Danio rerio: one gene and its partner. The protein of the gene in region 2 interacts with the protein of the main gene of each other region in a pairwise test. Links are inferred from orthologs where the notes say so. Each region holds a gene or a part of one and is shown on either strand. Other genes may lie near its edges.

Evidence for each region. The genes of interacting proteins can lie anywhere in the genome.
Region 1: the proteins of blmh (region 2) and nudt12 interact in binary tests that used the Homo sapiens proteins (3 or more experiments, as listed by UniProt). The two-hybrid records come from large-scale screens. The link is inferred for Danio rerio from reciprocal best matches to the Homo sapiens genes BLMH and NUDT12.

The regions. Positions count from the first base shown.
Region 1 is NC_133183.1:903,146-906,805, reverse strand, and holds part of nudt12 (NAD-capped RNA hydrolase NUDT12), read right to left. Parts: coding exon 3,563-3,660; intron 381-3,562; coding exon 92-380; intron 1-91. UniProt on the Homo sapiens protein: mRNA decapping enzyme that specifically removes the nicotinamide adenine dinucleotide (NAD) cap from a subset of mRNAs by hydrolyzing the diphosphate linkage to produce nicotinamide mononucleotide (NMN) and 5' monophosphate mRNA.
Region 2 is NC_133190.1:31,140,018-31,143,677, reverse strand, and holds part of blmh (bleomycin hydrolase), read left to right. Parts: intron 1-1,590; coding exon 1,591-1,739; 3' UTR 1,740-1,781; exon of another isoform or gene 1,782-1,869; intron 1,870-1,872; 3' UTR 1,873-3,660. UniProt on the Homo sapiens protein: The normal physiological role of BLM hydrolase is unknown, but it catalyzes the inactivation of the antitumor drug BLM (a glycopeptide) by hydrolyzing the carboxamide bond of its B-aminoalaninamide moiety thus protecting normal and malignant cells from BLM toxicity.

The DNA of each region.
Region 1 (3,660 bases), on a different chromosome or scaffold from region 2:
TTCATTTAGGAGAGATTAAACAATAATAATTCATTAATTTAGAGCCCTATCTAACACACACACACAAACACACACACACACACACACACACCGTGTCCTGAGCTCCGCGGCGCACCAGTGGACACAGGTCATGGAAAACGATGAAGACTGTGTCTGGATCAGCCTGTTTTTCAGAGATCCAGGCTAAATCTGTGCGCTTCTCACTCTTTCTGTCCAGCATCTGCCTGTTGAAGTAGATATCCAGCTCCTGAACACCTCCGCTGGGCAAAAGATCCACATCTGGAGAACCGGACAGCAGACTGGCCACGTGACGGTGACCCCAAAACACGGCCACATCTCTGGCCGTCTGACCTGAGCCATTCTGGGCACTCGTATCACATCTGATGGAGAGGAGAAAACATCAGTTCAGTACTGATTTGATTCAGTTCAGTGATGGTTTTTGTTCAGTTCATTGAAGACTTGATTCAGTTTAATGTTGATTTAATTTAGTTCAGTGTGGAATAGATAAACTTGTCATGTTTTGACTCAATTAATGTTCATTTTATTCAATTCATTGTGGATTTAATTCAGAGCAGTGATGATTTGATTCAGTTCAGTGATGGTTTGATTCAAATCATTGTTGATTAGATTCAGTTCATTGTGGATTTGATTCAGTTTAATGCTGATTTAATTTAGTTCAGTGTGGAATAGATGAACTTGTCATTTTTTTGATTCAATTCAATGGTAATTTTGATCAATTAATTGTGGATTTGATTCAATTCATTGTGAATTTGATTCAGAACAGTGATGATTTGATTCACTTTAATGATAGGCGCGTGGTGATCAATGAGATTAACTGAGCGCAGGAAGGGGCGGAGTTGAAAACAGAGTCGGACACTTTGAGGCTCACAGTTGCAGCAGTCATGACCGATCACATGGCGTTATCATCATTTATTTATTTATAACACCAAAGATTTACAGAACAAATAAAACAGAATACAGTCTCTACAAGCTATAGATCATTTTTAAACAAACGGGTAATTATGAATTAAATATATAACAAACGCATGAGAGAAATAAGGGGAAACGAGAGGGTAATAAACATAAATTCATAGGCCTATTAAATACAAAGCCATAAGCACAAATTCTAAGAGATTAAACATCCCTCTTTAGGCTAATACTGCTTGTTTGAATATGCTAAAAAGGGTTTACATCAGGGGTCATCAACTCTATTTGTCAGAGGGCCAGAGTTTTACCAGACAGTCTCCTTGTGGGCCGGACCCCCAAGAAGAAAATCTAATAAAAATTCTCACTTTGGTTTAACATTATGTTTGATGTTTATAGTTTTTCCATTTCACTACAAACTGAAGGCATTTGATTCAGGCTCCCATCACCTATACCACAGTCAAACACTAGGATTGATAGAAAACTCTCCACAAACGCGGTGAAAATGCTGCTATTAGTCGAGGTGGCCCTTCAGAGCCAGCTGGCTGAAATTTAGGCCGCAGGCGATGTGAAGGCGGCTCTCCATGGTGCTGAAAGCCTGAGCGCATTTTGGGTATCTTGTCCCGAAACCTATGACATGTTGAAAAGTCTGACAGCGGCCAAGCCTGATGTGAAAAAGTTGGCGTCAGAGTGGAAATGTAACTTTAGCCATTGATTAGGCACTGTGAGCAGCCCGTTTCAGCATTGTGATTTGAATTCAAGCCCACTTAACGTTTCATTTGATGTGCAAACATTATTTGTGAGCTGTTTTGTTCTGGTACCAGGTTATTTATTTACCATGCTATTTTAAGTTGTGCCAGATTATTTTTCCTCTCTTTTTGCCAGTTTCATGCATGTTGTTGAGACTTAGAAATAAAAAAACAAATGTTCAGTAAGGGCATGAGGTAAATAATGCGCCCGCTTTTTTTTTTTTCGCTTTTTTTTTCAGTGATGGTTTGTTTCAGTTCAGTGTTGATTTAGTTCAATTCATTGTGGATCTGATTCAGTTTAATGTTGATTTAATTGAGTTCAGTGTAGAATAGATACATTTCAGTCATGTTTTGATTCAGTTCAGTGTTGATTTGGTTCAATTCATTGTGGATCTGATTCAGTTTAATGTTGATTTAATTGAGTTCAGTGTGGAATAGATAAATTTCAGTCATGTTTTTATCCAATTCGTTGTTGATTTGATTCAGATCATCGATGATTTGATTCAGTTTAGTGATGGTTTGATTCAGTTCAGTGTTGATTTAGTTCAATTCATTGTGGATTTGATTCAGTTTAATGTTGATTTAGTTGAGTTCAGTGTGGAATAGATACATTTCAATCATGTTTTGGTTCACTTCAGTGTTGATTTGAATCAGATCAGTGATGGTTTGATTCAGTTTAATGAGGACTTCTGTTTTTGGATGTTGATTTGATTCAGTTTAGTTATGGTTTGATTCAGTTGTGTAATGTTGATTTAATTTAGCTAAACATAGAATTGATTCATTTCAATCATGTTTAGGTTAACTTTAGTGTTGATTTGATTCAGTTCAGTGTTGATTTGATTCAGTTCAGTGATGGTTTGATTCAATTCAGTGTTGATTTGGTTCAATTCATAGTAGATTTGATTCAGTTAAATGTTGATTTAGACTTAGAGACTTAGAAATAAAAAAACAAATGTTCAGTAAGGGCATGAGGTAAATAATGCGCCCGCTTTTGTTTTTTTTTCAGTAATGGTTTGATTCAGTTCAGTGTTGATTTAATTGAGTTCAGTGTGGAATAGATAAATTTCAGTCATGTTTTTATCCAATTCATTGTTGATTTGATTCAGATCAGTGATGATTTGATTCAGTTTAGTGATGGTTTGATTCAGTTTAGTGATGGTTTGATTCAGTTCAGTGTTGATTTAATTCAATTCATTGTGGATTTGATTCAGTTTAATGTTGATTTAGTTGAGTTCAGTGTGGAATAGATACATTTCAATCATGTTTTGGTTCACTTCAGTGTTGATTTCAATCAGATCAGTGATGGTTTGATTCAGTTCATTGTGGATTTGATTCAGTTCAGTGATGGTTTGATTCAATTCAGAGATGATCTGGTTCAATTCATTGTTCATTTGATTCAGTTTAATGTTGATTTAATTGACTTCAGTGTAGAACAGATACATTTCAGTCATGTTTTGATTCAGTTCAGCGTTGATTTGGTTCAATTCATTGTGGATTTGATTCAGTTTAATGATGACTTCTATTTGATGTTGATTTGATTCAGTTGAGTATTGCTGTGATCAGTTTAGTCATGGTTTGATTTAGTTCATTGTTGATTGAATTTTGTGTTGATTTGATTCAATTCATTTAGTTTAGTTCTAAGTTCAATATTTCCATTTTACTTCTGTTTGGAATTAATTCAGTGTTAATTTGATTCAGTTCATTGTGGATTTGATTCAGTTGGAAATGAATAAGTTTTGAAATTTGATTATGAAAAACTACATTTCAGCAATAACAGCAGCTCAATATGAACTTAATTGACTCTGTGATTCTTCAAATGAGTCCAGCTTGATCTCCTGTTCTCCTCTGTCAGACTGATGTTACTCTGTGGATGGCGTTTGGCATCTCACCCGTTCTCCAGCAGGGCCTTGACCACCTCCTGGTGTCCATGTCTGGCAGCCAGCATCAGTGCGCTCCACCCCTTCTCTCCTCTCTGGTTCAGCAAATC
Region 2 (3,660 bases):
AGTTTTAAAACTGCGCATAAAAAACATGTGCGCATAACTGAGTAGGATAAACTTTTTATTCAAAAAGAAAAGATGCTCATAAACTACGATGGAAACACTTTTACTGAACAAATTCCGGTAAGCGCGTTGAAAAGAAAAGTCATATGATTTTGTTACAAGAGGTCATGTGATGATAAAAGTGTGTGTGAATGGACAAACCAGCAGGCTGAGCACACTGTAAAACACCTGAAATGTTGTTTTGGTCATTCTAAAACACCTTAATCTTTTCGGTATCAGTGTTATTATATTAATGAACTCCAGAACTGTCAAGAGAATCTGAGCTCCACGTTTCATGCCTTTAAAGGCCACCATGCGTTCATTGCGTGTCTGCATTGTCTTCTGAGGCATAAGTCATTTATTAAATAAGGAAAAGATTGATGCAGCTTCTCCTACACGGCAAATTCCGGTTTAACTTTTGATTTTTGCACCAGTTTATCAGGATGTGACGATTATGTTCTCTTTGACTCGTTGAATGAAAACGCTACATTATTCGCACAGCTTTTATACAATATTCCAGTTTTCCACTCATTCCACTCATTCTTTTTGTAAAAGCAATCTGTAAGGCATTTATATTTAACACGAACGAAGATAGCTTGACAGGTTAACAACACTTTAGCAAACATTTATAATTGTTTAATGGTTCAAATGTTGCTGGTATAGGAAACAATCAAACTATTTAGCCTTAACATGCAATGTGCAGCATAACTGAGTATACCACATTATAAAAAATGAACATTTTTATCCATTTCTCAGTGAATATAGGTCATATTTTTGAAAACAAAACTGATTTGTTAAACGGATATATTTATTAAAATAATATTTTAGTCACCAAACGACATAGAACCATAAAGCATTTAAATTTATGCAAAATATTGGGAAAAATACAGTTTTGGTTTCTCTTGAATTTTGCTCTTGAATTTTTTATTTAATATTTGTACCTTAACATATATATTTGAGCTACTAATTTTGTTTTTACTTTTTTGACGCCATTTTATCAGAAAGTGAATATTTTATTCTCCGACTCATTGAATAGCAACGTTGCTTTAAGTGCATTCGCTTTTCATGCGATATTCCAGTTTTGCGCATACATTTAATTTGCATTTGCATGGATGGAAATATAGCTAATGTCAAATTTTACTGTACTGTCCATAAACGCAGCATTAGAAACACCTTGCCGAAAGCGTTAACAGTTTTGTATAGCATGATGAAGTATAGCTTATTAAATGTACATGCGTATTAAAAAAATTCAGCTTATTGAAACCTTTAAGGATTTAAGATGCAGATGACCATTGAAACATGTCCTCGTCGTCTTGTGAAAAGGGTATATAATGTGATTTTTTTCTCAACAGTGCCATCTTTGTTTTCCTGAATATATGAGTAATCAGTAGGCTGATGTCCTACAGTGCATTGCGATCTGACGTTCGTCCAAGAGCTTCTGCTGCAGCAAATTAAACAGCGTTCCACTCCTCCGTCTTGCTATCTTTCTTCTGCTCATCTTTCATTTTAGCCATTTATCTCTGTCTGCTGTCCTTGCCTCATCTCTTCCTGCAGGATATCTGATCATGACAGACGAGTGGTTCTCCGAGTACGTGTACGAGGTGGTGGTGGATAAGAGTTTTCTCTCTCCTGAAGTGCTGGACGTCATGCAGAAGGACCCCGTCGTCCTCCCGGCCTGGGACCCCATGGGAGCCCTGGCGTAACCACAGGAGCCAGTCTGATCTCCTCAACTCCACCTTCAGCTGGTTTTAACCCCCTCCCACCATCTCTCACAACAAGCCTGGTCTAGAAAAAAAAAAGAATAAAGTTTTTTTGCCTCTTTTTTTATTATCACAGGAGTCTGAGTGTGGAGTCATTTCAGTGCTGCGTTTGCATGCTGGTTTCCAACAGGTTGTAATAACGTCCCCTAACGGAGTCCGTGGCATTCTTTAAATACTCAAGTGAAGAGTCCACTGGGTACACCAGAATCTCGCCGGAAATGGTATGTTATCCAGGGATCTTGCGTTTTATGAATAGATGTGCTACTTTCTTCACATACCTTTTCACCTATTATATAGTAGAGAAATTTTCTGATGCAGCTTTAAGTTCAGACTGCATGATTTTGACTCGCCAACAGGTTTTTGAGAAATCGCAGACAACTGATTGAAATCACAGGCAAATCAGAGCCTGTTCACGTGAGTAACAAAGTGTGAACTATTAAAGTCACGATCTGAGAGAATCACCAATAATTCGCTGATATCCGTGAGATATTTGGGATGCTAAATACCTGGAGCTGTTGGTGATTCAGAATCATGCCATGTAAAATGTGTACTGATTGAAAATAACATCGCTGATAAGCTCTAAGCACGGCTAGAGTTTAAAACCAACGATAAACTTCCGATGAAAGCCTAATGTGACTATTTCCAATTTCACAAGGTTGTTTTTAAAGCACTGATGTTGTAATGTAATTACAAAATCCTCAGTTAAATAGACTCAAGCATTCATTTAGTTGTTTAAGCGTAAAAAGATATACAAGAGCGTTGTAACCGCTAGTGCCGTCAGTAGCAACAGAAGTTCCATTGAAAATACTGGGGTCAAATAAAGGGTCATATTTTAAAGACATGGTGGGGGAACTGGAATTAAATGCAGGGCTTCCTGTCCGATCTGAGACCCACTTATATCATATCATATATCTAACAGGCAGCGAAGATCGCTGATTTTAAACGTGACAGTTTTGTAATGGAAAGACAGTTTACTTGAAGCCATAGGGCTGCCCTGCTGAAAATTAAAAGTCTGTGTGCATATAGCCCATTACCTACCGCCAATGAGTAAGCAGCATCCACTAGTATGGGTATCTGCAGGCCAGCGAGAGGTTCGGGAAAAAGTTAAAAGGGCTTCTTTTCAGAAAAAAAACGTCACCATTTGACAATAGTGCAGGTGAAAAAAAACTAGAAACTAGACTCATAACAAAAAGAAAAAAGCTGCGCGGCATCAACAGAGCTGTGAAGGGAGTGCTCTTTCCCTCGGTCTCACACACGCATACAGGCATCTAAACGCGCACAAGCACACCTTTTAAACTTGACAAAAACTCTTGAAAAACTTTACTGTCTGCTGTGTCTTTAATATGGTCTAAAGATTATTATGCGTTATTGAAACATCAAGGAGGACGCAGCAAAGAAAAGTCACTTATAAATTAAAACTTTATTATTTTATGCAACAGCCTTACATTTAAAAGGGGAACATAAGGGCGATCATACGCAAAAAGACCCCAGCCAATAAGGCTAGATGTTTTCTTTCCCTTATTTATTTATATTTGCCGCATGTACTCGTGTGCGATCGGAAAACTGTGTCTGCACTCCGCCTCTCCTTTCACTCTGCCCCGAAGCCCCAGTTGACCTGTTTAGCACTCGGAAGTGACAGTGGAAACGCGACTGGCCTTGGCTCGCTCACTTTAGGCGCGATAGTGGAAACGCGGCTGGTCTCATGCACTCCATGACGACCACAGCATCAGCTCAGGATACAGCCTGGTCCAGGATTATGGATACCTTGGGTTTATCTCTTCACAGGTCTTGGATCGCATCACATGTGCATTGCACAATCTCTAGGGGTTTCGGAATGACTATGCCCAGATGGAAAAGAGGATAA